4 linked regions of the Alligator mississippiensis genome follow. The protein of the gene in region 1 interacts with the protein of each later gene in a pairwise test. Links are inferred from orthologs where the notes say so. Each region holds a gene or a part of one and is shown in the gene's direction. Other genes may lie near its edges. The genes, in order: VPS52, PPP1R18, NFKBIB and AAMP.

Evidence for each region.
Region 2: the proteins of VPS52 (region 1) and PPP1R18 interact in binary tests that used the Homo sapiens proteins (3 or more experiments, as listed by UniProt). The two-hybrid records come from large-scale screens. The link is inferred for Alligator mississippiensis from reciprocal best matches to the Homo sapiens genes VPS52 and PPP1R18.
Region 3: the proteins of VPS52 (region 1) and NFKBIB interact in binary tests that used the Homo sapiens proteins (3 or more experiments, as listed by UniProt). The two-hybrid records come from large-scale screens. The link is inferred for Alligator mississippiensis from reciprocal best matches to the Homo sapiens genes VPS52 and NFKBIB.
Region 4: the proteins of VPS52 (region 1) and AAMP interact in a two-hybrid assay, tested with the Homo sapiens proteins (2 studies listed by BioGRID and IntAct). The link is inferred for Alligator mississippiensis from reciprocal best matches to the Homo sapiens genes VPS52 and AAMP.

Annotation. Positions count from the first base shown.
Region 1 is NC_081834.1:64,784,523-64,791,446, reverse strand, and holds the start of VPS52 (vacuolar protein sorting-associated protein 52 homolog), read left to right. Parts: upstream 1-3,908; 5' UTR 3,909-4,092; coding exon 4,093-4,161; intron 4,162-4,245; coding exon 4,246-4,330; intron 4,331-4,409; coding exon 4,410-4,462; intron 4,463-4,541; coding exon 4,542-4,617; intron 4,618-4,906; coding exon 4,907-4,974; intron 4,975-5,386; coding exon 5,387-5,562; intron 5,563-5,645; coding exon 5,646-5,796; intron 5,797-6,014; coding exon 6,015-6,115; intron 6,116-6,222; coding exon 6,223-6,355; intron 6,356-6,582; coding exon 6,583-6,640; intron 6,641-6,740; coding exon 6,741-6,874; intron 6,875-6,924. Other genes in the region: RPS18 (small ribosomal subunit protein uS13), read right to left, coding at 1,783-1,858, 1,966-2,057, 2,910-3,011, 3,151-3,237, 3,372-3,470, 3,694-3,696. UniProt on the Homo sapiens protein: Acts as a component of the GARP complex that is involved in retrograde transport from early and late endosomes to the trans-Golgi network (TGN).
Region 2 is NC_081834.1:53,469,586-53,477,532, forward strand, and holds the start of PPP1R18 (phostensin), read left to right. Parts: upstream 1-4,940; 5' UTR 4,941-5,447; intron 5,448-6,153; 5' UTR 6,154-6,160; coding exon 6,161-7,947. Other genes in the region: NRM (nurim), read left to right, coding at 216-339, 427-629, 711-890, 1,123-1,443.
Region 3 is NC_081838.1:1,160,554-1,167,473, forward strand, and holds NFKBIB (NF-kappa-B inhibitor beta), read left to right. Parts: upstream 1-3,904; 5' UTR 3,905-3,994; coding exon 3,995-4,338; intron 4,339-4,428; coding exon 4,429-4,534; intron 4,535-4,624; coding exon 4,625-4,826; intron 4,827-4,955; coding exon 4,956-5,044; intron 5,045-5,574; coding exon 5,575-5,811; intron 5,812-5,974; coding exon 5,975-6,022; 3' UTR 6,023-6,915; downstream 6,916-6,920. Other genes in the region: SIRT2 (NAD-dependent protein deacetylase sirtuin-2), read right to left, coding at 125-193, 852-908, 1,264-1,370, 1,911-1,952, 2,165-2,281, 2,430-2,481, 2,678-2,724, 2,805-2,820. UniProt on the Homo sapiens protein: Inhibits NF-kappa-B by complexing with and trapping it in the cytoplasm.
Region 4 is NC_081827.1:253,654,810-253,661,911, reverse strand, and holds the start of AAMP (angio-associated migratory cell protein), read left to right. Parts: upstream 1-4,090; 5' UTR 4,091-4,179; coding exon 4,180-4,282; intron 4,283-4,555; coding exon 4,556-4,723; intron 4,724-4,802; coding exon 4,803-4,922; intron 4,923-5,023; coding exon 5,024-5,163; intron 5,164-5,284; coding exon 5,285-5,429; intron 5,430-5,601; coding exon 5,602-5,685; intron 5,686-5,779; coding exon 5,780-5,895; intron 5,896-6,214; coding exon 6,215-6,318; intron 6,319-6,518; coding exon 6,519-6,609; intron 6,610-6,845; coding exon of another isoform or gene 6,846-6,887; exon of another isoform or gene 6,888-6,906; coding exon 6,907-7,061; intron 7,062-7,102. Other genes in the region: TMBIM1 (protein lifeguard 3), read left to right, coding at 1-85, 222-286, 377-441, 549-602, 759-809, 905-944, 1,045-1,082, 1,212-1,299 and 3 more; probable hydrolase PNKD, read right to left, coding at 2,778-2,946, 3,073-3,241, 3,880-3,973. UniProt on the Homo sapiens protein: Plays a role in angiogenesis and cell migration. In smooth muscle cell migration, may act through the RhoA pathway.

The DNA of each region.
Region 1 (6,924 bases):
GGGACGAGCTGCCAGGGAAGTCATGTTTCCTTCCTTGGGGGTTGCAAGAGGAGGCCTCAAGGGTGTCTGGCTGGAACAGCTTAGGAACTGCCCAGCCTGCATCTGTGCAGGGCTTGGAGAAGACAACCTGTGAGACCCGTCCCAGCCCCAGGACACCCCCAAAGTGTGCCCCACAGGCAGCCCCAGCAGAGGTGCAGCCATTTCTTGACTGGCACCCACAGACTGGAGGCCAGACAGGATGGGGCGGTGCATCCACATGGCTTAAGGTAACTGGGTTCCCCCAACAGGGACTCGAGAAGCAGGAGCAGCAGGTACCTGCTGAGGGCACTGGTGCTGGGTCAGGTCAGGTGGGAACCACTCCAGGCACTCGCTACACTCAGGAGTCGACATATTTTTGGTCCCAAATCTGTTGCAGTCCAGGGCTCCTGGGGTCCCTCCATTACCATGGTTGGTCTGAACTAAAGCAGAGCACAGACTAGGGGGCCCAGGCACCAGGCCCTGCTGGGACCTCAGCTGAGTCACTTTGCTCCCCACTCACCCTTGTGCCTGTTTCCCCAGAACAGACCTGATGACAGCTCCTGGCTGTAGAGGACTCTTGGTGCAAGGCCTGGGGCTGCCACCACGCACCAGACAGGACTATCCAACTCCTGACTCTGAGCAGGAGCTTGGAGAGGTTTGTTGGGGACAGTGTCCTGCAGAAACCCTAGTTCTGGTGCAGATCCCACTGATCCAGCTGCTGTCAACTCCTACAGCCTTTGGATGAGCCTTGAAAGGCCAGAGAGCATAGAAGTATTTGGGGCTAGAGCCCCTGGGAACCAGGTTAGAAGGGGGCCTTGAGCCCATCCCCAACACACAAGCCATTGTTTCAGAAAGGTATAGTAGGGCCGCGTTTTGCAGCATCTGGGCACCTAACTGAAGCAGAGATGCTCACTTCATCACTACTATGAAAGGACTAGAATGGACCAGAAGATCAAATGCAGAGTGATTTCAATACAAAAGACGGAACAGAGGAAGAGGGGGCAGGGGGCAACATTGAGAGGGGCACACAAAATAAGTGATAAACCCATGGGGGCTGCAGGGATCCGTAAATGAAGGATGAGAATTTGGAGATGGTCCTTCTAGTGGGCAATGCTACGAGCGTAGGGATTCAGAAATGATCTTGGTGTGGGGCGCAGGGCAGCAGTAGAGGCCAGGTTGAAACAGCTCCTGCAACAGGGAGACCGTAGCCCTGCCCCAGTCCCTGCCCACCCTCTACCCTGAGGGACGGGCTGTGACAGGGATTCCCTCAGGGCTGGGACCAGGTGCAGGATCAGGGGAGCCACATTGGTGTCTTCATGCAAGATCCCAGAAGTGTGTCGGTGAAAATGAAAAAATGGGACCCGTCAGTCACATTGTAAAGTGAGACCTTGCCCGCCTCCTAGTCCCGGAAAATACTCACCTGCCTGGGCCATACAGCCACCCCGTATCCATTGACAAGTGTCAGTGTAACCTTCCCCTTCTTGCACACCGAGTCCCTGCACACACCCCTGCCCCACCTCAACCTCACATAAGCACCTCCTGCCCGTGAACCCCTCAGAGCCCAGGAGACAGGGACAAAGATCAACTCTTTGGGTTGTCAGGTAGCTGCTATCATTTGTCTCACACACTTCCCTGCCCAGGATAGAAGAGAACAGCAGCCCCACGTCCTGCTTCTCCCACCAGCCCTGCCCCAGACTCATCCCTCCAGAGAGAGAAGGGAGGCAGGTCTGAGAACAGCACTTTATTACATACACAGGGAACAGGTTACTTCTTCTTTGAGACACCCACAGTGCGGCCGCGGCGGCCTGTCGTCTTTGTGTGCTGGCCTCGCACACGTAGCCTGCAGTGGAAGGAAAGAGATAACGGTCAGAGCTGAGATATCACCCGCTCTGCCCTCCACCCTGCCTCTGTGGGCAGCGCCACGCCCCATCCCCCAGCCCCACTTACCCCCAGAAGTGACGCAGACCACGATGCGCCCGGATCTTCTTCAGCCGCTCCAGGTCCTCACGCAGCTTGTTGTCAAGCCCGTTGGCCAGCACCTGTGGCAAAGAGGCAGCAGGTCAGAGATGCAGCCTAGCTGGGGCTGAGGTCAGCCAGCCCAGGCCCCACCATGTGGGAGAAGCTGAACTACACACATGTGGGCTGCTGGCAGGGGAGCACCAAGGACAGGCCCCACAGCTCCCAGAACCACAACCACGTGGGAGCTCACCTGTGTCTGGGATACCTCAGACCCTTGGTGCTCTCCCCTTGTTGGAGAGTCCTGAACCTTGCCCCCCTCCCACCCCATTTTGCGGTGCTGGGTAGGTCGCTACATCCCTCCGCACAGATCCTTAGGGCCCAGAAGCAGTTCAGTATGAATCTCAGCCGTTAGCACGCAAAAGAAGGCAGCTGTTAAGCGACAGTTTCGAGAGCAGAGATGTGGAGACCAGGGTCACACCCTGTGCGGATAAGGCGACCCCAGGAAAGAACGAGTGGCAGGCCATAACTCAGTTTCCCTGCTCCTTCAGTCAAAAGCTCAATCTCCGACAGCAATGAGCAAGACCACAGACCTGAACCGTATCCAACTCCCCCATGCCAAGCCACAGGAGTGAGAGTCTGGAACTTGCCCCCAGCCGTTAGGAGGGGATCGTGGAAGCCCGAGACCTTATCTCCCCCTGCAGCAAGTGTCTACATGTTGTCTGACACGTGTAACTGCTCTTAGCCACATTGATAACATCCCTATCAAACAACTGTTAATCAGAGGAGCTAGCTATGGCTTCTGTTGTTCTTCTCCAGATAAAATAAAAGCCCCACGAGCCATCCTGAGTGTAACGGTCCCTTCCCCTGCCAGGCTCAGCCCCCGGTCACGAGCCCTGGGGGATGGCAGGCCTGGAAGGAGCCCCGCCACTCACCTGGCTGTATTTGCCATCCTTGATGTCCTTCTGCCTGTTGAGGAACCAGTCGGGGATCTTGTACTGCCGGGGGTTCTGCATGATAGTGATAACGCGCTCCACCTGCAAGCGGGGAAAGGGGGTTTCTGTAAGCTAAGGTCAGCCGGGGCTCCCCACCCCCCACAGCAGACCTCCCCAGCACCACTCCCTGCAGCCAAACCCCACAGCACCCTGCACCGCACCCTCACCCCGGCCTCCTCACCTCATCCTCCGTCAGCTCCCCGGCCCTCTTGGTCAGGTCAATGTCTGCTTTCCTGAGCACCACATGGGCATAGCGCCGGCCCACGCCCTGCAGGCGAGTGGAGAGCGTAAATACAGGCCTCAGCTCTGGAGAGGGGGTCTGCCCCAGCCCTGCCAGGATCCTGCAGGACGAGCCCCTACCCCAGGGACGGACCCGCAGCCCCCCCGCCGGGTGACCCGCACCTTGATGGCGGTGATGGCGAAGGCGATCTTGCGCCGCCCGTCGATGTTGGTGTTGAGCACGCGGAGAATGTGCTGGAACTTCTCGGGGATCACGAGCGACTGCGCGGGGCAGGAGCAGGTCAAGGGCGATCTTGCGGCCTTCTGCCCCCCGGCTCTCCACCACCCCGGCCCCCTGCGCCCTCCCCGGGGGCCCCGCCGAAAAATGGGACGCGGGGCGCGAAGCCCCAGCCCCGTCCCCCCCAAGGGCCGCCCCGCAGCCGCAGTGCCCCGCGCCCCAGCACGGATGGGCCCCGATGCGCCGCGCGCCCCCGCCCGGCCGTACCATGGTGCCCGCTCCGCTCCGCTCCAGCCCCGTCCGGAAAAGAAAGGGGAAGTGACGCAGTGCCCGGTATTCACCCCCCCAAGGGGCTCCGCGGCTTCCGGTCGGGGCTGTTCCCCTTCCGGCTGGGTGTGAATATCCGGAAGTGACTTCCTGCGGGGGTAGCAGTAAAAGGCATCCGGGTGGGAAACCTGACCCCACAGGGATCCGGAGGCTGTAAACCGTCGTTAGGGCTCCTTTCCCCCGGGTGCCGGATTCCGGCCGCCGGCCGCACTCCAGCTCGGAAAGGGCTTGAATAGTGCACTTCCGGTCAGCTCCCCGGTGCTGTCTGGGAGATGTAGTTCGGTGGAGAACCAGGCCGGAAGTGCTCCCGTGGCCGGCGCGGGGCGGGGCGGAGCAGCGATGGCGGCGCTGCGGCCAGCGGAGGAGCTGGGGCTGCGGGCGGGCGACACGGAGGAGGAGGAGGGCACGGTGAGGCCTCGGGCTGCCTGCCCCTCGCCCTGCGCCCCAGCCCCGGCCCAGGCTGAGCTGTACCCCCCCTTCCCCCCTGTGCAGCCCCCGGGGCGCGGAGAGGAGCAGCCGCTGAACCTGGGGGACCTGGACCTCACCTCGGACGAGTTCATCCTGGACGAAGTGGACAGTGCGTGGGGGCGCGGGGGGGCGCTGGGAGCGAGGGGGGTGGGGTGGGGCCAGCGCTGACTCCCGCTCCTCACCCCCAGTTCACATCCAAGCCAACCTTGAGGACGCCCTGGTGCAGGAGGCGCTGAAGACGGTAAGCTGCCACCTCCTCCCTTGCTGTTCCCTGGTTGCGGCCAGCCCCCCCGGCCTGTGTGACCCCCTCCCCTGCGCAGGGCGTGGACCTCCGGCAGTACTCCAAGCAGGTGGAGCTGGAACTGCAGCAGAATGAGCATGCCTCCATCCGGGACTGTATCCTTGGAGGAGGCGCACAGATGCCCTCAACCACCCTCTGCTGAGCCTAGCGTGAAGCGGGGAGGGGGGAGGATTCAGTTACCCCCGCCCGGGGGAGTTTGGGATGGGGTCTTCTGTGCCCCTGCCCAATCCCCAGCACTGCAGACAGGGGGCTCCACCTGGAGGGAGGGGTGTGCTCCGCTATGTCTCTGGTACCCCGCCCCCCTCCCTGTATCTTGGGGCTGGCTTTCCAGTCCCCCCCCCAACTTCCTTGTTGGTTTCCTGAACGACCCTGGTCATCCCACAGACATCAAAGAGAGCAAGAACATTGCCTCCCTGCACAACCAGATCACTGCCTGTGACACCATCTTGGAGGTGAGACACACCCCCCCCCACATACACATACAGCCCTCCATCCAGCAGACCCCCTTCAGTTCCCATCACTCTCTGCAACCCCACCCGGAAAGGGGCCTACTGCACCCACTCCTGACAGCTTCATAGGCACTGGCAGCACTGCTTCTACAGGGGTGAAACACCCCCTTTCTCTTTTTCCTCTCACAAATTGAACATTAGAGGGGGTGGCTGCAGGGGTGGGATGGGCAGGGAAGTGAGAACAGCTTACCTTCCCTTTGCTCCTGGTTGTTTTGTGCTGGGGTTGGAGACTGGCAGGACATCCGGGGTGTGTGTGTGTGTCTGCTGCGGGGAGATGGTTTCTGCCCCAGTGTGGATGGGTGGGTCACAAGGGTCTGGCCTCTCTGACACTTGCTCTTCCGACGCCCTGGCCCAGCGCATGGAGCAAATGCTGAGCACCTTCCAGTGCGACCTGAGTAGCATCAGCTCGGAGATCCAGACATTGCAGGAGCAGTCAGTGGCCATGAACCTGCGCCTCAAGAACCGCCAGGCTGTGCGCAGCCAGCTCAGCCAGCTGGTCGATGAGCTTGTTGTGCCCGCCAACATGATCAGGTGTGGGGGCCTGGGGCAATCCAGGGGCTGGGGGAGGGAAGTGTCTTCTGGGCTGCCCTTTCATGACTCTATCCCACCTCCAGTACCATCCTGGAGGCGCCGGTAACGGAGCAGGAGTTCCTAGAGCAGCTGCACGAGCTCAACAACAAGATTAACTACGTGAAGGAGCAGGCCTTCCGTGAGACAATGGCCTGTGCCGATGTGCAGCACGTGTTGGAGAAGCTCAAGGTCAAGGTGAGGGTCCATCCGCCCTCTCCCATGTGACCTAGGCTTAAAGGCCAGGGGGAACCATTCCCTGAAGGTCATGGGTCAGGGGTCTTCCCCATCCTTTTCTTGTTCATTTTTGCCTGGAGGAGATGTGGACTTTCCTCTCCTCCCTGCTTATGCAGGGGGCTCCAGCAGCCTCATGGTGCCCAATGACTCCCATGACATCTCTCTGCTTCCCTGAGCAGGCAGTGACCAAGATCCGGGAGTTCATCCTGCAGAAGATCTACTCCTTCCGCAAGCCCATGACCAACTACCAGATTCCCCAGAATGCTCTGCTCAAGTACAGGTGAGCTGGGGGTAGGGGGACCTTCCAGCATCCTCCTCAGCTTGGGGCAGCAGCTGGGCAGGCTCCTGGAGACTCACAGACACCACCCCTCGCCTCATGTCCTCCAGGTTCTTCTACCAGTTCTTGCTAGGGAACGAGCGGGCGGTGGCACAGGAGTTGCGGGAGCAGTACGTGGAGACCATGAGCAAGATCTATCTGTCCTACTTCAAGTCCTACACCAGCCGCCTCATGAAGATCCAGGTTGGGACACGATGCTGCTGGGGAGTGCAGGGCCCCCAGCCCAAGCAGGAACATGGCTGGGGGGTATGGTGGGAACTCAGTGGGATGACTGGGCCAGACTCCCCCATATTACAAGCAAGGGGCAACGGTGCAGCCCTGTGGTGGTGAACCTCCCTGGCTGCCTGTCTGTCCTGTGGGATGCGGGATGGGGCTGGGGTCCTGGTGCTGACTGTTCATCTGTGCTGCAGTATGAAGAGGTGGCTGACAAAGATGACCTGATGGGCGTGGAGGACACGGCGAAAAAGGATATCCTGCTGCCCCAGGGCACGGGGCAGGAGGCAGGGAGGTGTCGGGTGGGGGGAGGAGCAGCATCTCCCTGGTGTTCCCCTTGACTCGTGAGTCCCACGCTTCTTCTCCAAGCCATCGCTGAAGAATCGCAACACCATCTTCACACTGGGCAATCGGGGCAGTGTCATCGGGGCGGCCGAGCTGGAGGGGCCCATCATCGTGCCACACACGGCCCAGAAGAGTGATGTCCGTGTGAGCAGGGGTGGGGGAGGGCAGGGGTCACCACCAGGGGGTCCCCCAGA
Region 2 (7,947 bases), about 11 Mb from region 1:
GACCCCGGGGCAGGGCTGCGGAGCTGGCGAGACCCCAGCGAGAGACAGGAGAATGGAGCATCCGCAGAGCCCCGCCCACTGCGGGAGCTCCTCCCACCTGGGGGCGGGCCCTAGGAGAAGTCGCGTCACAGGGGAGCCCCGGGGAAAGCCCCTCCCCAGCAGGGCGGCGCTGGCTGGAGGCGCGAGTCGGGAGTCCCCGCCCCGGTGCCCGCGCCATGGCGCCCGCGCTGCTGCTCGTGGTCCCGGCCCTGGGCAGCTTCCTCTTCGCCTTCGGCACCGGCGTGGAGCTGGTTCGCTTCGTGTCGCTGCGCGCCGTGCTGCCCGGCGGGGCGCGGCCGGGTAGGGCGGGGAGCGGGGCTGGGGGCGGGGCGGGGGGGCGAGCGAGCCCCGGGGCGGCCGCGCTCACCCCGCTGCCGCCCCGTGCAGAGCCGACGGCCGGGCGCGAGTGGGCGGCGGCGCTGCGGGACCCGCGCGTGCTGCGGGCGCTGGCGGCCGATCTGGGGCTCGTGGCGCTCTTCGTGCTGCAGCACTGGCTCATGGCCTCGGCGCCGGCCAAGCGCTGGGCCGCGCGCTGCCTCGGCGTGCTGCACCGCTCCTGCTACGTGTGCTGCACCGCGCTGGCGCTCCAGGTACCGGGCGGGGCGGGGCGGGGCGCGGCGGGGCCGGGCCGGGCCGGGCCGGGCCGGGCTGAGCAGAGCGGGCGCCCGCAGGTGCTGATGCGGTGCTGGCAGCCGGTGCGGGACGGGCCGCTGCTGTGGGACGCCTCCCGCTCGGAGCCCTGGGCCACCTGGGTGCTGCTGGCCTGCTTCATCCTGCACTTCGTGGCCTGGCTCATCATCTTCAGCATCATCCTCATCTTCGACTACGCCGAGCTCATGGGGGTCAAGCAGGTACTGGGTGGAGGGAGGAGGATCCAGGGGCTCAGGGACTGGGATTAGCTTGGGGGGGTGGAAAGGGGGAGGAAGGAGTCTTGGGGTCTTTCCCCTCTTGGCTCCAACCTGCTGCAGGTCCCCTGCCCCAGGTCTGTTACCACTGCCTGGGCTCGCGGGGGGCAGTCTTGGGGGCTTTCCTCTCTCGGCTCCAACCTGCTTTGCCCTCATGCCGTGCCGTGCCCTGCCGCAGGTCTATTACCACTGCCTGGGCATGGGTGACCCCCTGGCTTTGAAGTCGGTGCGTGCCGTGCGGCTCTACTCCCACCTGCGCCACCCCGTGTACCTGGAGTTTCTCCTCATCCTGTGGGCCGTGCCCTGCCTCTCCCTGGACCGCCTCCTGCTGGCCACCCTCTTCACCGCCTACATGACCTGCGGGCACAGCCTGGACCAACAGGACTACCTCTACCTCCGTGCCCAGCTTGATAAGAAGTTCCAGGTCTTCTCCCGTGAGGAAGCTGCCTATGGGGACCTGCTGGCCCGCAACGGCCCTGTCTTGAGCAAGGAGAGCTGAGTGGGAGCAGGACCCTGCTGGATGGCTTTTACCTAGGGGGAGGTCTGGCGCAGTGGTGCCCTTCCCCACCCCCCACCTTGCCAAGCACTGATGCCCTTAGCTCTGCACTTAGTACTGTAGTGTTAGGATCTCTCCTGAGTCCCTAGAAGTCACAGCTGCCTGCAAAAGCAACCTTGGAGTCTAGGCTCCCTTCCCCATGCTGTGACCCACTGGAACACTCTTCCTTCCCAGAGCTGCAGTAGAACCCATGAGTCCAGGCTCCCAGCCCACTTGCCCAGCTCCACTTTCTAGATACCGTTGGCCTTACAGAGCTCGGTAGAGGTTGGTCTCTCTCCTCCCTCCCCCATTGTAACACTCTTCTTTCATAGGGTCCTTAAGTTCAATTCCTGGCTCTGAGAGGGGAGTAAAGTCTGGGTTACAGTGGGGAGGTCCAGAGTCAGGATTCCTGCCTTCTATTTTGAGCCCTGGGTTTAATAGTTTCAGAGGCATTTGAAATCAGGACTCCTGGGCTCTTCCCTACTGCCTTCCCCATAGTGATGGACGTGTCGCCAATCTCTGCTGCAAAAGTCTTGAAAAATGGTTTCTAAAAATGAAAGTAGGGTACTGTTTCTTCTGTATTTAGGTACAAGGCAAAAAAATGGCTCGAGTGATATGAAGATGAGCTGGAAAGGAGGGATGATTAATAGGAAGGGAAGTCCATCCCTTTCTGGGGCCTTGGCTCTGACCTCCCACACTTCAGTGGCCAGTGGATGCATTGAAGGTGTGGGGAGAGCAGGGGAGTCAAGACATGGGGATCAGGACATAGGGCCTCTTCCCTGCAGTGAGTGCCAGGCTCCTATTAAAAGTTAGCTAGGAACTGTGCCACAAAATCCAAAGCCTGCTGATGTTCAGGTCTCCTAGCTTAATGCAAGTGTTCTAGCTTAATGCTTAATTCATTATGGGGATTGGGACATTTTGGGTCCACCAGAATCCCTGGGCCCCGTCTTGGAGAGGAATGGTGTCCGATGGGTTAGAGCAGAGGGGCTGAGCATCAGGACCCCTGAGTTCCATCACCAGCACTCAGGAAGGGGGTCCTGTGGGTAGAGCAGAGGCTGAGCTGGGATTCAGGATACCTGGGTCCTATTTCTGACTCAGGAAAGCAACCCCAACCTTAATCGATGCCTTAATGAAGAACCTCTATTTTTAACGCTGCCTTTTTGTGCATGTGGGGGTTTTTTTGGTTCTTTTGTTTTGTTTTGTTTTGAACCTGAAGCTGATAAAGTATTTTTGTATCTTGGGTTTTTGAGTGATCTGGGAAAAGGCTAGTTTAAAACAAACAAACAAATAAATAACTAAAGAGAATTATTGCATTTACAAACATGTTTCTGTGAGACGGGTAGCACAGCATGGGGCAGGACTCCTGGGTTCTCTCCGCAGCTCAGGGAGGGTGGTGGTGCCTGGCTTAGGGCAACACTTGGGTATGCAGCCAGCAAGCCGTATCGCAGTGCTCTGTCTCACTCTCTGCAATATACCTGGAATGAAAGTGTCTGGGGTATCCATCTCTTGATTGCATGCTTTTCATCTGGGCTGTTAGACGTGGTAGGGAGCTTGGGGCAGAAAGTTCGGGTCCTCCTATTCCCAAAGCATCATCTTGGCACTAAGGAAGGAGGGAAATTTAGCTCCTGCCTGTCAGCACATCTTTACAAGCACATGAGCTGTTGCTGTTCTTCCCACTAGAGGGCATTGCTGCCACAGAGATGCCAGGCACTGGGTACTGCACCCTGTTCTGGTCAGCCAAAGGCATTACACACACGGGGTCATGGGGCAGCTTGCCCATGCTACCCTAATGTTCCCTCTCCATACCCACCTGTATCCCTGGGACCCCTTTTCCCTACTCCCAGATCAGTCTCCCTCCTTCCCCCATCAGTGTTTTTGTGTGACTTCCCCCCTGCCCCGTCCTCTACTTCCCCACCTGCCACTCTGTCCCCATTGCAACCTTTCTTTGGCAAGGCTGAGTCAGTCCAGGATGTGACCCCTGATGGGCAGAGCTGTGCCACCAGCAGCTCTGCCGGAGATGCTGACTCACCAGCTCACGGTGCGCAGCAGAAAACATGTCTTTGCTGGTGGAGCTGTGTCTGCACCAAGGCCTGGTTGGTGCCACCCTGTTCTACAGCCGTGAAAAAGTCCTGTTGGCATACACTTTTTCACTAAGGAACTGTGCCAACACAGCAGCAGGGGCTACCCTAGGGAAGACAAGTGTTCGCCGCATAGCAGTCTAGGAACATTGTACCAGGGACCCGCACTGACTGTGGGTGTAGTATCACCCTCTTTCCTTTCTCTTTTGGAGCTAATGCTCCAGGGGATGGTAAGAAGAGAGCTGAAACTGGGGGTGTTAGGATGGGAGGTGTCTGTACTGTGGGACAGAGCTGAGTGAAGCACTTCCCAAGGTGTTGAGGCTACCCACATGAAGAGTTCAGAAATGATTGTACCGTGGAACAAGCTGGTACCAGCCTTCACCTGGGATATCCATCAGCACTTATTCTCTTGGGGGGTGGGGGGGAGTGTTGTTACATGAACTCTCCCAGAGCAACACCCCATGTCTCCCCACTGGTGCCAGTGTGAAGGTGATGCTGTGTCTGTTCCCTCAGCTTGGCCGCTGGAGTCTGTGTGTATAGCAATGCTCCCACAAAGGCAGGGCTGGAGATGTGGCAGGGGCCACCCCTTGGTGGTCAGAGCTAAGCAGAGCAGGCCTCAGCTGACATTGCTGGGAACAGGGGGGCTGAGGCCTGCCCTAGGCTTTGGCTTCCCCTCTCAGTGGGTCAGGCCGTGCATAGCTCACATCCTGGATGGAGAGCCAGGGGCGGGAGTGGGGGCTGTAAGGAGCCTGTGTGACACGCGTGTCTGGCTGGGGAACCACGTGAACAAGGAGCAAAGCAAAGTTAGGTATTTGACCTGTCAAATACAGCTTGTTTAATTGACCTGTCAAATATCCATCAACTATTGTAAAAAAGAAAACAAAACAAAAAACACCCCCCAGAAATGTCAACAGGTCCAAATACGATGCAGAAAAACCACAAATTTTCCATTATAAAGTGTGTCAGAAAACAGTAAAAAAAAATCTTGTTTCCATCAAGAAACATACAAATATATATTCCTAAAATCACTATAATCTTTGGGCAAAAAAATATGTGGTCAGTTGACCAGCTTGCCAACCCTACAGGAAAGTGTGCGCGCGCGTGTAGGGGGATGCTGGGGTGTGTGTATGTGTGTGTGCATGTGCATAGGAGGAGGGTGGGGGGTGTAGGACGCGAGGGTGTGTGTGTGTAAGGGGATGCTGGAGGGGTGTGTGAGATGCTGGGGGTGCACAAGTAGGGGGGCTGTGTGTGTGTGTGTGTGTGTGTGCGCGCGCGCGTAGGGGGACGAGCGGGGTGTGGAGGGGAGGCCGGGGGGTGTGGAGGACACCGCCTCCCCCCGCAGATCCCTGCCTGCCCGGGTGCGGGCGCTGGGGCCCGGCTCTGTCGAGCGCAGTCAATCCGTGCCGGCCTCTGCCCGCCGCGGCCGCTGCCCGTGGGCGCTGTGCAGGAATCCCGCGGCGCCCCCCGCCCGCCCGCCCCGCCCCGCATTGTCTCCCCGCGCCTTCACACACAAAGACCCGGCGGAGGCGGCGGCGGCGGCGGCAGCGCCCGCCCCGGCGGATCGGGGCCCCCCGGATCGGGGCCCGCCCAGCCGCGCGGCGCCCGCCCCCGGACGCCTGGGTCCCCGGGGCTGCCCCCACCCCCACGCCGGTTCCGCGAAACTCCCGCGACCGGGAACCCCCTCCCCGCCTCCCTCCTTCCCTGCCTGCCTGCCCGGCGCGGGGCGGGCGCCTGGTTCCGTCTGCCCCGCGGTCCGGAACCCCCGAGCCCCGCCCGGGACAAAAGGAGCCTCCTTCCCTCCCTGCCCATCACTCCGACGCCCGGGTCCTGCGAGCCACGGAGCGCTTGAAGCCTCCCAGCCCGGACGCCTGGGTCCCGCCGCTCGCCGGGGTAATTATGCTGCCCCCTCCCGCACCCCTTCCCCTCCGGTGGGTTGAAAGGAGCCCCCACCCACCCCAGGAAAGCCCGACGGGGTCCCCCGCGCCGCGCCCGGCCCCTGCCCCGGCCCCTGCCCCTGCCCCTGCCCCCGCCGGGCTGCAGGCTGGGTCGGGCTCCGGAGCGCGTGGCCTCCCGGCCGGGCCCCGGGGACGCTCGGCCGCCGCGTGCCGGGCTGTCAGGAGGCCCCGCCGGCAGCGGGCAGGGAGGGGCTGTCAGGCGGAGCCGGCTGCGAGGGGGGAGAATTTGGTTCATCTCCTTTCTCTCTCTGCCGGAAGCCCGTGTGATCCCGGCGCCGCCTCCCCCTCGACCTCCCCATCACCCTGTCCCTCTTTCACCCTCTCCCTCGCCCGGCTTCCATGCCCGCTCTCTTCCTCACCCTCCTCTGTCCTTTCTTCCTGGCCTCTCAGTCCCTCCTTTCGCAAGCCCTCCTTCCCCACCGCTTCCTCCATCATTGACTCTCTTTCCTTCCCTTCCCGCTCTCTCCCAGCCTCCATTCCTTCCACCATCCCTCTTTCCTCCTGACACTCTTTCTTCTTAAATCAGGCCTCCTTCCCTGGCTCTCTCTATCCCTCCTCCTTCCCATTCTTCTCTCTTACAATCCTTTGTCCTCCTTTCTGCCCTTTAAACTTTCCCTTCCTTGCCTGCCCCCCCACCCCAGGGCCACGATGTCGGCTCCCTCGTCCTTGCCCGATTGGAAGCTGATGCTCTTGGAGCGGAAGCGGAAGGAAGAGGAGGAGGCGCGGCGCCGGGAGCGGGAGCAGCAGGACCGCATGGCCAAGATGCCTGCATGGAAGCGGGAGATCATCGAGCGCCGCCGTGCCAAGCAGGGCTCCAGCACTTCCTTCTCTGAGCCTGGAGGCAGCAGCGAGGGCGGCGGTGGCAGCAGTGGAGGAGCTGGGCCCCCCTTGGCTGGGGTGGGAGCCCCAAGCCCTGGGGAGGAGCCCAGCAGTGAGGAGAGCGCCGTTCTGCAGGAGAAGATTGGCCCCGTGCACCAGAACCCCTTCATCCAGCTGGAGAAGCGCCGCAAGGAAACAGCGGCACCGGACAGCGACCCAGCCAGCGCCAAGGCCAAGCAGCTGGCGGACGCCTACAGTCAGATCCCTGGCATCCGCACCCTGAGGGCCGACAACGTCATCATCATTGAGTCGGTGCCCGACGTCGAAGGGGCTCCACTGGGCACAGGGGCTGAGCGGCATCGGTGGCCAGCGGAGGTGAAATCTGGCAGCGTGGAGTCCCTGAATGAGCTGCTGGTGCGGCCGGGCGGGAGCGTGACGGAGATCCGGGCGGGTGAGGTCTTCATCGTCAAGTCAACCGTGAGCCGCAGTGCGGAGGACCTCAACTCCTGTGGCCAGGGGCACGGGGATGTGGGCTACCAGTCGGCGCGGCCAGAGCAGCGTCGTGGGCGGGTCAGCAAGCTGCTGAGCCACTTCAGCCAGGACGGTGGCGGTGGCGGTGTGGGGCCGCCCCAGCGCCCGGTCAGGTCCCTCAGCACTGAGAACCTTGCTGATGGCTCCTATGAGCACCCCTTGGAGACCAGGAAGCTGGATCCTGGCCTGGCCCGGCAGCATGGCAGGTCTTCCAGCCCATCCTGCGACCTGCCAGGGCTTGGCGCCTCCGCACCACCCCAAGCGCCCCTCTTCACGGTGGCCTCCTTCCGCAATCAGTTTGAAGCCAGGTCTAGTGGCGAGGCCTGGCTGGAGAGCCCTCCACGGCGCTTCTCGCTTGGCAAGTCTTGGAACCAAGAGGCAGCCTCGCCAGAGAGGGGGCCCCGGCTTGGCAGTGACAGTCGTGCGGCGGGCACGGTACCACCAGGCTCACGAGGCAGGGAGGCCACCTCTCCAGAGAGGAGAGCTAGGCCTAGCAGCGGTGATCGGCTGGCAGCAGCGCCCGGTCCCCAAAGCACCGAGGCCGCCTTGCCAGAAAGCGGGGCCCAGCCCAGAGGTGGTGGCTCAGTGGCTGCGGGGCCAGGCCTAAAGGACAAGGAGGCCCTCTCCCCAGAGTGGGGCGCGAGGCACGATGGCAGTGGCCCAAACACAGTCATGCCAAGCCCACAGGGCAAGGAGGCTGCCTCTCCAGAGAGGGGAGGCTGGGACTTGAAGGCCACCTTGCTGGATGTGATGAGCACAGGTGAGGCGTTGGAGCCAGGCCCAGCAGCCATGCTGGAGCCTGATGCCGACACACAGGCCAAGGCCCTGGCCAGCTTGCGCCTGCAGTCACGCAACTCCTTCATGGTGGTGCCGCGGCGGGCCAGCAGCTCCCCTCCCCCCTCCTCCGACGCCGCCGAACCCAGGCAGGAAACCGGCACTTCTCCTTCTCCTCCCCCAAAGCCCGTGGCTGTTCTCAGCTCTGCTTCCTCCCTGAGTTGTGAGCAGACGCCCCCGCCAGCCAGCGCTGAGGAGCCAGGCGACGGGGAGGCCATGAGGCGTGTGGGGGCCCGACCAGCCCGGGAGCT
Region 3 (6,920 bases), on another chromosome or scaffold:
CCATGAGCCCTGTGCCCAGGCCAGCTTACAGGGCTGGGGGAGTGGGAATGACTGGGCACAGCTGGGGTGAAACTGCCCACCCCTGCCACTGATCATGCCCCCCACCCCAGGGGTTTTCGCTCACCTGGGTGTAGCACCGCAGCAGCAGCCCCTTCTCCTTCAGCAGGCGCATGAAGTAGTGGCACACGGTGGGCTGGGGAAGAGCGGGGACAGTCACTTCCGTGTCCCCCCCCCATAGGGGAGAAAGGGCAATTTAACCATGCACCCACTCCCTTAAGTCCAGCCCTTGTACCCCAGGAGGCTCTGGGCACCGGCTGGGAGGGGTGAGGACCACCTGCCCACCCAGTGCTGCCCAGCAAGGAGGCACATATTCGACCCAGGCCCATTGGGGGGTGGGGGGAATGGGTGAGACGCAGCTGATAGCACTGGCAGGGTCTTCCCTGCTGCTGCGGGTGGGGGCTGGTGCGGGCAGGCTGGCACTGCAAGGTCACGGCTCTAACGCAAGCAAGCTCCGGCATCAGAACGATCCCAGAGGAGTCGGGGCTGCTGGCCAGCCCAGGGCAGGGTGACAGGCTGGAGACCCCCCAGCCCCATGGGGCAGCTGAGCTTGCAGGGGGCAGACGCCAGGCTGTGTGGGGGTTGGGCCCGATGGGACCTGGGCGGTTTTCCAAAATGGGGCACAACTCGCCACACTGAACCCAGGGGTCCGGGGCCCAGGTCCTCCGCTTTGCAGAAGCAGGGGCACAACCCAGGCGTCCTGGCTCTGCTCTCACCCCCAGCCCCTTCCCTGCGCAGGGAACCCAGGCATCCTGGCTCCCAGGCGCCTCGGGGCTGGGGCAGGGTGGGTTTACCTTGAACTGCCCCGGGTACAGCTCCTTAGCCAGGGCGAAGAACGGCTCGGGGTTTTTCTGCGTGGAAAAAAGCAAACGGCCAAGTCTCTGGGGGCGCGTAGCTTTAAACAGCTTCCCCCACATCACTACTACCCCCGTGGGGGGAGAGCGGGCTACACTCTGAGCCCTGATTAGGGGGAAAGCCCCCCCCCCCCCAATCAGAGCCACCTCGAGATTGCCCAGCTTCATTATCGGTCCCCCAGCCCTGCGGGTGACCGATCCTGACCTGGGAGAAAGGGGGCCGGGGGGTGTCTGTTGTGGGTACGGCCTCGGGGGCATACCCCAGATGTGCGCGGGGAGGGGAGGGGAGCGGAGGCAGGGGAGCACAGTGCCTGGCCGAAGGGGCGCAGGGAAGAGGGTCCCGGGCCCATACCTTGAAGAAGCGGATGTCGAAGATGGCTTCGGGGTACGGCAGGTTGTAGCTCGCCAAGTTGGCGTAGAGCCCCGTGCCCGGCGACCGGAAATCCGGGATCCCCGCAGCTGGGAGACACCGGGGGGAGGCAGCTCAGGGGCCTGCGCCTTGGCTGGAGGTGGGGGTCGAGATGCAGGGGGGGGGGAAGAAGTGGGCTGGGGTCCCATAAGGATCTTCTCTTTGGCCCCACCGGTGTTACCCGCAGCTGCCGCGCTCCACCCCAGACTCAGCCGCGTTTGCCTGCCTCACGTTTCCTCATGTGTAACGTGCCCCGGAACAAAGTGCCCGCCCGGCTTTTTCCGGCAGAAGCAGCTCTTACCGTGCTACCGTATTTCCCACGCGTCACATTCGTGCCCGTTTCCAGCAGCTGGTTTGGGGTGGGGGGCGGGGGGGGAAGCATGCGTCGTAGGCGAGAAGATCCGGTCGCTGCCCGCCCAACGGGGGTACGCTCCAAAGGGGGGCAGCGGGGGGGAGTGAAGGGAGTGAGCCCCGTACGCACAGCTGCTGCGCTGCACCCCAGAAGCGGCTGCAGCGAGTGGCAGCGAGCGTGGGGGGGCTTGACCCCTGACCCCAGGAGCGCGGGGGGTTAGTCCAGCCGGGGTACTTACAGGTGGAGATCCCGGCTCCCACCATGCACACGACGTTCTTGCCTGCGAGATAAACGGGGGTGGGGCGGGGGGGTGACTTCCGCCCCGGGTACAAGCGCCATCCCCCCCCTCGCCCGCAGCAGGGTCCTCCGTGCTGCCTTGGGGTCGAGGGTAAGCGCCCCCCCCGGGGGCCCAACACCCGGAGGGGGAGGGGAGGGTCCCAGGCGTTCAGCGTCCGCCTGCCCGGGTCCCGTCCCAGCCCGGCGGGGGCTTACACTGGTCGCTCAGCATGAACCGGCTCACGCCCTCCAGCGTCAGCTCCTCCAGCACCTTCTCCGGCCCCTCGCCGCCCAGGCCCAGCGTGCGCGACAGCAGGGTCCGCAGGAACTCCACTGCGGAGGGGAAGGGCAGCCGTCACCGCCGCGCACGGACCCATTTCACAGACCGCACTGCCGGTCGGGGCTTGCTGGGGGGGGTCATGCAGGAGCCACGAAATTCCTCCCAGCCGCCCCCCCCCCACCCCGGGGTGCGAGCACTCACTCTCGGACTCTCCGGAGGCGCCGGCGCCGCTGTCCGAGTCGGAGTCCGAGTCCTGAAGAGACGAGCGGAGTGGAGCGGAGCGCGCCGTTACCGCGGGTTTAGAGCGCAGCCCCCCGCCCCCCGCCCCGCTGAGACAAAGGCGACGTCGCAGGTCGCCGAACCAGCGGCGAGGGGCGAGGGGCAGCGGGCTCGGGCTGCAGCCGGGCAAGCTGGGGCTGGAGGGGTCAGCTGGGCCCCGCCGGACTCACCGGGGAGTCGGAGCCCGGGCCTGGCCCCGCGTCTGCGGCCCCCGGAGCTGCGGGCAGAGGGGGGGGGTCAGTCACGGAGGGGGGGACCCCAGGGAGGGGGCAGGGGGACCCGGGGGCGGGGCCTCACCCTCCTGCTCGGCCATGGGCCCCGCTCCTGGGCCCCGCACTTCCGGGGCCCGCGTTATGTCACCGGAAGCGGAGCCATCCACGGGGGATGACGGGAGGAGACACAGCCAGAGCTCCCATCATGCCCCGCGGTGAGAGCCGTACTCCAGCCAGGATCCAGACTCCACTTCCCATCATGCCCCACGCTCCATTCCCCCCTCCCCCCTCACGCCCCGCGTCCACCACCATGCCCCGCGCCAGGATCCAGACTCCACTTCCCATCATGCCCCACGCTCCAGTCCCCTCTCCCCCCTCACGCCCTGGGCGGAGAGCCCCGCACTCCATCCCCCATCATGCCCCGCGCCAGGATCCAGACTCCACTTCCCACCATGCCCCACGCTCCAGTCCCCTCTCCCCCCTCACACCCTGGGCGGAGAGCCCCGCACTCCATCCCCCATCATGCCCCGCGCCAGGATCCAGACTCCACTTCCCATCATGCCCCACGCTCCAGTTCCCTCTGCCCCCTCACGCCCTGAGCGGAGAGCCCCGCACTCCATCCCCCATCATGCCCCGCGCCAGGATCCAGACTCCACTTCCCACCATGCCCCACGCTCCAGTCCCCTCTCCCCCCTCACGCCCTGGGCGGAGAGCCCCGCACTCCATCCCCCATCATGCCCCGCGCCAGGATCCAGACTCCACTTCCCATCATGCCCCACGCTCCAGTTCCCTCTCCCCCCTCACGCCCTGGGCGGAGAGCCCCGCACTCCATCCCCCATCATGCCCCGCGCCAGGATCCAGACTCCACTTCCCACCATGCCCCACGCTCCAGTCCCCTCTCCCCCCTCACGCCCTGGGCGGAGAGCCCCGCACTCCATCCCCCATCATGCCCCGCGCCAGGATCCAGACTCCACTTCCCATCATGCCCCACGCTCCATTCCTCCCTCCACCCCCCATCATGCCCCGCGCCAGGAGCCAGACTCCACTTCCCATGATGCCTCTCGCTCCATCCCCCCATCACGCCCTACGCTAGGACCTAGACTCCATCTCCCATCCTGCCCCGCGCCAGGACCCGTCCTCCCGGCCTGCCCCGCGCGCCGCCCACCCCGCAACAAGCCGGGCGCGCATTGGTGGGCGGCGGGGATTCCCCGGGAGCTGCCCCGCCCCCCTCTCCCGTCGGTGCAGCGGGCCCGGGGCTGCGGCGCCCCTGCCGCCATGTCGGGCCAGGCCGAGGCCGAGGCGGAGCGGGGCGTGGAGGCCGAGAGCGAGACGAAGGCGGGCCCGGAGGAGTGGTGCGACAGCGGGCTGGGCTCGCTAGGCGAGGGGCCGCTGTCGCTCCCGGGCGCGCCGGGCCCCGAGGGCGGCGGGGAGCGGGAGCGGGATCGGGATCGGCTGGACTCGGCGCTGGGGGACGAGGAGGAGGAGGAGGAGAAGGAGGCGGCGGCCGTGGGGGCGCTGGCGCAGGGCGTGGGGTCGGTGCGGCTCCGCGACCCGCCGCCCGTGGCCCCCGAGGCCTGGCTGCGCCACGTGCTGGGCTTCCTCACGGAGGACGGCGACACGTAGGTGTGGGGGCGGGGCGGGGCGGGGGGCGGGGGGCTGCCTCCCCTCCCCCACCCCACCCCGCCCCGCCCACCTGCGCCTCCCCGCAGCGCCCTGCACCTGGCCGTCATCCACGAGCACGAGCCCTTCCTCGACTCCATCCTGCACTTCGCGCGCGGCACCGCCTACCTCGACCTGCAGAACGACCTGGGCCAGGTGAGGCCCCGCCCCCGGCCCCGCCCCCGGCCCCGCCCCCCACCTCACCTCACCTCACCTCACCTCACCCCACCCCCGCGTCTCCCCCAGACCGCGCTGCACATCGCCGCCATCCTGGGCGCCGCCGGCTTCGTGCGCAAGCTGACGGGGGCGGGCGCGGGGCTGGGCCTGCGGGAGAAGGGCGGCCGCACCGCCCTGCACCTGGCCTGCCGCGAGGGCCGGCGCGACTGCGCCCGACACCTCCTCGCCCCGCCCGGCGCCCGCCTCTACCTGGACTGCGCCAACTACGACGGTACGCGCGCACGCCGCGGGGGGCACACCCCCTCCCCGACCCACCCACCCACCCCCCTGCCCCCGGGGAGCTGTCGTGGGGGGGGGCGGCCGAGGCCGGCGTCCATCCCGCGCCTCGCTCCGCACGCAGGTTTCACGCCCCTGCACGTGGCCGTGCTGCAGAAGGACGTGGAGATGGTGAAGCTGCTTCTGGGCGCCGGCGCCGACCTCGATAAGGCGGTGAGTGCCGGCAGGGGGGCGGCACTGCTGTAGGCAGATCGCAGCCGACGTAACGCGAGGAGAAAAGCGGCTTTACTCCCAGAGGGGGGCTGGGTTAAGTCCACCTCGCTTGTTGGTAGAAAGCTTAGAAAAATCCGGTCACAAGAAGGCATCTCGTTAGTCCCGCGAGGCATCGCTGCGCTAGATCGCGCCCGAGCCGTGACTTGGGAGCCCCTCCGGGGATGGGGAGTCTGCGGCGTCCGGGAGGGGGACCCGGCAGGGCAGGACGGGATGGTTGGAACAGTCAATGTCGAGATCGTTAGCGAGGAGAGAGGGTCGTTAACGCCTGCGGAGCAAAGGGATTAGCAGGAACGAGGGAGCGGTGAAGTCAGTCGAGTCCAGGCTGCCTGGGTAGAAACGCGGCTGCCCCTGCCACGCAGTTGGGTTTACAGATTGGGTAGATGGGTCGACGGGGGGTGCCCCCCCACCACCTCCAGATCTGCCCCTGGGCGTTACCACCCCCTCCCCCCCTCCCTGGCCTGTGCCGGCAGGAGCCGAGCTGTGGGCGCAGCCCCCTGCACCTGGCGGTGGAAGCGCAGTGCCCCGAGGTGGTGGAGTGCCTCCTGCGCGCCGGCGCGGACCCCGGCGCCCGCATGTACGTGGGCTACACGCCCCTGTACAGCGCCCTGCACCGGCCCGACCGCAGGATCCCGCAGCTGCTGCGGGACTTCGGCTCCCAGGAGCCCGACTGGGACTCGGAGCCGGAGAGTCCCGACGACGCCAGCGACGTGAGTGGGGCGGCTGTGGGGACCCTCCTGCCCCCGGGGGGGCTGGGTGGGAAGCTCCTAGTGGTTAGATCCCCCCCCCCCCCAGCCGTTAATGAGACGAGTTGGGGAGGTCTCAGTCGTTTGCTCCGCCCTAATTCCTTCCGTCTCTCCCCTTTCCCTCCAGGATGAATATGACGACATCATCATCAACAGTGGATATTATAAGAACTGATGGGGGGTGGTCTCCCCTGCCCCCCTCTCCTCTCCTCTGCGGGTGGATTTGGGACAGCCTCGTTGCCCGGCCCGGCCTCTGCTATTGCCAGTGGCCCCCCGGACCCCCAACGCGTCCCCTGCCCGCTCTGGGGCCCCTTCATCTCCTGCCGGCCTGAGACCAGTTTGTTGTGCCGCGGGCAGGGCAGGCTTGGCCCCTACCTCGCCAGCACCTGCCTGCCCTAGTGTAGAGGAGCCCCTGCCGCGGCGGCTACCAGCTCTAGATCTCGGCTGCCAAAGACCTGAGGTCTGTAGAGCGGTGCCGATTGCCGCCCCCCCGCTTTAGGATCCCAGACTCTTGGGCTCTCGTGCCCGTGACCTTTGGGCTCTAGTAACCCCATCTCCTTCCAGCGGTGGCACAAGTCGGGGATCCCTCCCCGAACTGCCCCTTCCACCTCTCAGCCCCGAGCTGTGCAGACATGGGGGCAGGGAAATGCTGCTCTCAGACCAGAGAGACCATTCCCAATACTGGGCTGGACTGGTCCCCTATCCCAGTGTGGACACAGTGGTGCCCAGGGGGAGGACCGGGTTCTGTCTCTGCTCCGTCAGCTGTGGGAGGTTTTGCCCACCCGCCCCTTGCAACTCCTCCAGCCCTGGAGGCGGGGAGCTGCCGATCCCTGCCTCGGCCCTGCCCCAGGGAAAGGGGCGTGTGTGTCTCCTCTCCGTGTGCGTCCAGCTTCTCTGTGTGTGGTGTGGCCCCCCCGTGTCGTTCCTACCACTCCAGCGTGCGTCTGCGTGGTCCGTGTCTGCGTGCCTGTCCTGTTCTTGTCTGGATCTTGCCCTGTGCTGTGTATGTTAACGAGGGTGGGTGGCTGGGTGGGGGGGGGCACGTGATTAAAACTCTTGCCCCATTCAGTGTC
Region 4 (7,102 bases), on another chromosome or scaffold:
CCCGCCCCCTATGGGCAGCCAGGCTACGGGTACCCGTCTGCGGGGGCGCCAGTGCCCCCCATGCCCACGCTGCCCATGAACTTAGGTAAGGAGAGCATCCTGTGAGGGGGGGCAGAACTGGGGGGTGCCTCTTTGTAGGGGGCAGTGCCTTCCCATCCACGGGGGGCACCCGGGGGTCGCATGGGCCCGGGGAGGGGCACTGAGGGAGCTTCCCCCCGCAGGGGACGACGCCATCATGGCCACCGACTGGGAGGACAAGAAGGTCCGGCATGCCTTCATCCGTAAGGTAGGGGGGCAGGATTTGGGGTGGGGGGGCACAGCCCCTGGCCCTGTCCCTGCCCTGGCTGGGGGTAACGGCCCCCCATTTGCCCCCTAGGTCTACACCATCATCTCGGTGCAGCTCTTGGTCACCGTGGGCATCATCTCTGTCTTCGTCTTCGTGTGAGTGTGGGGGGGGCAGAGCTGCCCTAGGGGATAGGGGGGCATTGGCTTTGGGGGGGGCAGGATGGGGTGCCTTGCCAGGCTCTGACTGCCCCCCCCCCCCGCAGCTCCCCCGTCAGAGACTTTGTGCGCAAGAACATGGCCGTGTACTACGCCTCCTAGTGAGTACCCCCTGAACCCCCCCCCGTGAACCCCACCAGGACCGGGGTCCCAGTGCCGGGGGCTGCAGAGCTCTGGGCTGGCAGGACGGGGGTGGGGGGGGTCCCATCCCCTCTGCCGGTGGGGGCCAGGCGGGGTGTGACGGTCTCTCCCCCCAGCGCCGTGTTCCTGGTCACCTACCTGACGCTGGCCTGCTGCAAGGGGCCCAGGTGAGTACCCGTTGGGGGCGGGGGGGGGGCAGGGCATCGGGACCCCCCAGGATCGGGGCCTGACCCGTGTCCCGCCTCCTTCCTTCCCTCTGCAGGCGGCGCTACCCCTGGAACATCATCCTGCTCGCTGTCTTCGTGAGTGGGGGCTGGGGGGGCTGTGGGGAGGGGGGGGCCCGCTCCCTTACACCCATGGGGGCCTTGGCCCACAGCTGACCCAGCCCCACCCCCTCTGCAGACGCTGGCCATGGGCTTCATGACGGGCACCATCTCCAGGTACTGTGGCCCCCCCATACCCTCCCCCAGGCTCCTGGCACCTTCATTAGGTGCCAATTGGGAGCCCCAGCTTGCCCCTGTGGGGTGGGGGTTGGTCTGGACCCCCCCAGACTGACCCCCCCCCCACAGCTGGTATGGCACCAAGGCCGTATTCATCGCCATGATCATCACGGCCATCGTGGCCATCGTGGTCACCGTCTTCTGCTTCCAGACCAAGGTGAGGGGGACCGGGCGGTGGGGGACACAGCTGGGGACCCCCACTCCTGAGAGCCAGGGCAGAGCCCCCCTTCCTGAGCACGGAGCCCCCCTGGCTGGTGGGACCCCTCCCTCAACCTGGTGGGGGGCACCGCCCCCCCCAGCCGGTTCAGCCTGGGGCTGACCTTTGACCTAGACCCTCCACATGGCAAGTACGGACCAGGCAGGAGCGTTGCCCCTGCCCCCTATAACCGCCCCCCACGACCACCCCCCAGGTTGATTTCACCTCCTGCACGGGGCTGTTCTGCGTCCTCGGCATCGTCATCACGGTAACGGGCATCGTCACCGCCATCGTCCTGTCCTTCAAATACGTGAGTGCGGGGTGGGGGTGAAACCCCCCCGCAAGGCATTGTGGGAGTGGAAGCAGCCCCCCCCACTCCGCTGTCTGCTGAACACCCCCCCGTGTCCCGACCTGGTGCCCGGACTCAGCCTCCTGCCTGGGAGGGGAGCAATATGCGGAGGGGGGCAGCAGTGTGACCCCCTCCCCTTCCCTCCCCGCAGATCTATTGGCTGCACATGCTGTACGCGGCCCTGGGCGCCATCGTCTTCACCCTGGTGAGTGGGGGCCGGCGGGGGGTGCCCACACTGGAGGAGGGGGCACGGCGTCGGGGGGCCTGGCCCTGACCGCCTGCCCCCTCTCCCCCCCCGGCAGTTCCTGGCCTACGACACGCAGCTGGTGCTGGGCGACCGGAAGCAGGCGCTGGGCGCGGAGGAGTACGTGTACGGCGCGCTGCGCATCTACACCGACATCATGTACATCTTCACCTCCGTGCTGCAGCTGGTCGGCCGCAGATAGAGCCCGCGTCCCGCCCGCGCTGCCCGGCTCCGTGCGGCCCCCGGGCATGCTGACGCACGGGGGGAGGTGGGCCCTTGCCTTATTGCCCCCGCCCCTCCCCAGGGCCTGGGTGCGTCCCGGCCCCACCAGCCCGGGATGGGAGGTGCTGCGCGGGGCGCACGTGGGACGCTGGCTGACACGTGGGCACATGCACGTGCTCTGGACACGTGGCTGTACCCGTGTCTCTCCCCCTCCCGCCCCGGGGCTGCTCCGTGCCTTAACGGTGCATGCACCAACATGGCGGCACGGTACGGGGGAGGGTAGAGGGGTCCCCAGCAAAGGTGGGGGGGGCTCTGCTTGCTGCACCTGGCACCCCATGGCCAGCCCTGCCCGGGACCCCCCACAGCGCCAGGCAGGGGCTGAGCCTGCTTCGCCGACACCAAAGAGCCTGGACTGGATGCTGCCAATAAAGTGCCCGTCTGACACCCGCCGCCTGTGCCTGTGACTGCCCTCGCGGGGACGGGGTGGGCATCAGGCCCCTGGGCTGGGGGCACAGACCTCTCCGGACGGACCCTGCGCGGCCCCCCACACTGCACCCCGCTCAGTGCACACACACAGGCAGGGTTCGTGCTGCTTCAGGTTTATTCAGGCCCCGTGGGACCCGGCTAGGTGCGCCCCGCCCTGTGCAGCACCCCCCGGTACTGCTGCTCCGCCTCGGGCCCCACGTTGGCCCTCTTCATGTTCTGGAGGCTCTGGAGCTGCTCGACACGGTTGTGGTCGACCTTGTGCTTGGTGAAGAGGAAGAGGAGGATGCCCAAGGGGAAGCCGATGGCCCTGGGGGGACCGAGGCGGTGGTTAGTGCCTGCGGTGCCCCTCGCTCCTCACCCGCAGCCCCAGTCTGCGTGTCGTGTGCTAGGGCTGACCCGTGCAGCTGGAGACCCCGGGGCGGCGGGCACTCACCAGGCCACCCCCACGGCGCGCATGGGGTTCTTGGCCTTGCGCGTGGGGATGTACTCGATGGGTGGCGGCCCCGCGGGGTCCGGCCTGGTCTGCATCTCTGCTGAAGCCTGTGAGCGGCAGGGCTGTGGTGTGCGGACACCGGTGCGGCGCGCCGCCGCGGAGAAGAAGCCTGCACAAGGGGGGAGCAGGGTCACGGGCACACGTAATGTTGAACCCGCATTACAGCGCTGCCACACCGGAGGCAGTGGGGCAGTCGTCGGGGCGGGGATGCCACCCCACAGCTCCCTGCTGGGAGTTAAGGCCCCCGCCGCACCTTACATTTGTTACACAAATTGACTGGTGAATCGCGCAATAAATGTAGACGGGCCCCAGGCCGTCACTGCCCGGACACGTGTAACGCCCCAGAGCCGGGCGGCACATGTTACATACGTGATGCTGTGGACGGGCGACTCGTGTGATAAACGCTGAGCGGAGCTGAGGGCAGGACGCACGGGGGACACGGCTGTGCTGGACGGGACCCCCAGCCCCCTCCCTCCACCTGGTCTGACCTGGGCCTGGCCCAGGCAAAGCGGGGCAGCGCCTTGCTGCAGCGGGGGAAACTGAGGCAGGGGGTGGGCCCTGCAGAGCCCCGATCCGGCGGCGCTCGTGCGCAGGCGCAGGGCCGGCCTCTCCCGAGAAGCTATCGCAGGAGAAACGCGGACAGTCGCGGCCCGCATTAGTGCGCATGCGCAGTACCCCCCAAACCCTTAAGGCTTTCATGCGGAGTTGGGGTGGGCGCTATCCCGGGGCTCCCCGCGCCGCACTCACCCCGCAGCCCGGCCGCCGCCATGTTGCCCCTGCGCCGTCCCGACACACCCCGCGCGGCGGCCGAAGGCGGATCGGGGACTACACTCCCCAGCATGCCCCGCGGCCTCGCGTATGGCGCGGAGGACAACCTACCCTGTTGCGGGAGGGGCAGGGCCCGGGCGATGACGCGCCTGCGGATTGGCTGCAGCGGCCCTTTCCTCGCTCGCCATTGGCGGAGCCGCGCCCTCCCCTTCCCACCGCGCCCTGCTCCGGCGCTGAGGGGAACGCGGCCCAGCCCGGCGCGGCGCAGCGCAGCGCAGCATGGAGCCCGCCGGCGGCCCCGGCCCCGGCCCCGGCCCCGCAATGCTCTTCCACGGCGACGAGGAGATCATCGAGGTGGTGGAGCTGGGCCCGCCCGGCCCCGGTGAGCGCCCGCGGGGTCACGATCGACCCCTCCTCCCCCCGCCCCCCGCGGGGTCACGCCCCGCCCCCCGCGGGGTCACGACCTCCCCCCCGCGGGGTCACGCCCCGCCCCCCACGGGGTCACGCCCCTCCCCCATGCCCTCAGTTGGGGGGGTGCGTACCCTCCCCCACCTCTGCCCCTCCCCCGCCCCTCATGGGGGTCACGCCCCTCCCCCACCTTGCGGGGGGGCGCCCCCCAGTGCTGCAGGCTCTGACCGCGGACCCCCCCCCGCAGACGAGCTGGCGGCCGAGATGCAGGACGTGGACGTGGACGCGGACGCAGACGAGGGGCCGGAGGACGAGGCCTGGGACACGGAGGAGGAAGAGGAGGAGGGGGGGGGTGCGCGGCACGGCGGCCCCCCCGCCCCCGACGACAGCGAGGTCACCTTCGCCCGGCACTCGGGTGAGCCCCGTCCCCGCACGTCCCCGCGCCGCGCCGTGCCGCGCCGTGCACTGACGGACGTGCGGCCGTGTCCCCCCAGCCTCCGTGTTCTGCGTGAGCCTGGACCCGCGCACCAACACGCTGGCGGTGACGGGCGGCGAGGACGACCAGGCGTTCGTGTGGCGGCTGAGCGACGGGGAGCTGCTCTTCCAGTGCTCGGGTGAGGCGCCCGCGGCCGCGCCGCCCCGGGCGGGGGTGGACGGGGCCGCCCCCCCTCCCCCCGCGGCCCCCGCGCCAGCTGCCCCCTCTCCGCCCCCGCAGGTCACAAGGATTCGGTCACCTGCGCCGGCTTCAGCCACGACTCGGTGTTCGTGGCCACGGGGGACATGAGCGGGCTGATCAAGGTGTGGCGCGTGGACACCAAGGAGGAGGTCTGGTCCTTCGAAGTGGGGGACTTGGAGGTGAGAGTTGGGGGGCCGGGCAGCGGGGAGGGGGTGCAGGCCGAGGGCCCGGTCCCCTCGCCCCGCCCCGCCCCGCCCCGCGTGGTGCCTGGGCTCCATGCGTCCTCCTCCCTCTGCCCAGTGGATGGAGTGGCACCCCCAGGCCCACGTCCTGCTGGCGGGCACGGCCGACGGCAACTCCTGGATGTGGAAGATCCCGGGCGGAGACTGCAAGACTTTCCAGGGCCCGAGCTGCCCGGCCACCTGCGGCAAGGTTCTCCCCGACGGTGCGGGCTGCCTTGCCTTGCCCCCAGTGCGGCGCGGCCGGGGGAGGGCGTCAGGGCATCGGCGGTGCTCGTTGGGGGTGGCCCCTGCGGCGTGCGGCGGGGAGGGTGTCCCCGGGCGTGCGGGGGTGGGTCTTGGGGGTGATGAGAGCCGCGAGCCCCTCTCTCCGTCCAGGGAAGACAGCGGTGGTCGGCTACGAGGACGGCACCGTGCGCGTCTGGGACCTGAAGCAGGGCAGCTCGATCCACGTCCTCAAAGGTAGGCAGGGCTTGTCCCAACCTGGGGCTGGGGTCGGGTTTGAGGGCCGTTGGGAGTGGCGGTGCCGTGGGGGCTCACCCCAGGTCCTCCCCAGGCCAGGACGGGCACCAGGGCCCCCTGACGTGTGTGGCCAGCAGTAAGGACGGCAGCCTGGTCCTGACGGGCTCTGTGGACTGCCAGGCGAAGCTGGTGAACGCCGCCACCGGCAAGGTGAGTCTGTGTCATCTTGGGACTGAGTTGGGGGGACACCCCTGGGTGGGGGTCTCTGCTGATGTGCTGCCCCAGGAGCCTTCTGCATGCACTGCTGCCCCAGGAGTGTACTGCATGCACTGCTGGCAGCGGGGCCAACATGCTGGGGTGCACCCTTGGCCCAAGGCAGCTCATCCCCGCTTGCTGGAGCCCTCGGAGGGGGGGGTTGTGGCCGTATTCCTGGGGGTGGCATGGCCCAGGGCCCCCTTGCAACGTGGTGCCCCTGCCATGGGATCCCCGCTGGGCTACCGAGTCCCCGGCTGACAGGCGTGTGCCGCAGGTGGTGTGCGTGTTCCAGGAGGGGAGCGCCGCCCCGCAGACCCCAGCCGGGGCGGCCGAGGAGCCCGAGTCGAACTCCGTGGAGTCGCTGGGCTTCTGCAATGTGTGAGTGCGGGGGTCAGGGTCGGGGTCCTGGCCATGGGGTGGTGGGTGTTGGCAGCCAGGAGTCACGTGATCTCTGCCCTTTGCCTGGGCTACCCTTGACCGCTGCATGGAGCAGGGGCTCTGCCTGTGACTTCCCCCCTCAGCTGCAGTGGTAGTCTCTGCCCCTGCTGCCCCCGTAACAGCTTCCCCCGGCCCCCCAGGATGCCACTGGCCGCCGTGGGCTACCTGGACGGGACGCTGGCCATCTACGACCTCTCCACGCAGAGCCTGCGGCACAAGTGCCAGCACGAGGTATGGGGCGGGCTGCCTGGGGGCTGGGCCTGCTGCTTCCACGTGCCCCTGGCTGGGGGGTTCCTTGACTATCCCACAGGGGAAGGCTGCGCCTAAGCCCCCTGCCCCCGCTCTGCGCCTAAGCCCCCTGGATCCTGTCTCTGGAGGGGGTCATTTTCTGCATCTTCCTGGGGTCCCGGTGGGGGCTGGCCTTGCTGCACCTCGAGGCAGTGACCCCTTGGCAGGGGCTCCCCCAGCTGGCCCTGGCGCCCCGGGGGCTGCGGCCGTGCCCAGGCTGACGCGGGCGCCGGGTGGCAGTCGGGCATCGTGCAGCTGCTGTGGGAGGAGAGCGCGGCCGTGGTGTACACCTGCAGCCTGGACGGCGCCGTGCGGCTCTGGGACGCCCGCTCCGGCAAGCTGCTCAGCGAGTACCGGGGCCACGGTGCCGAGATCCTCGACTTTGCCCTCAACAAGTGAGTGCCTGTACCCAGCTCGCCCCGCTTGCCGGGGGGGG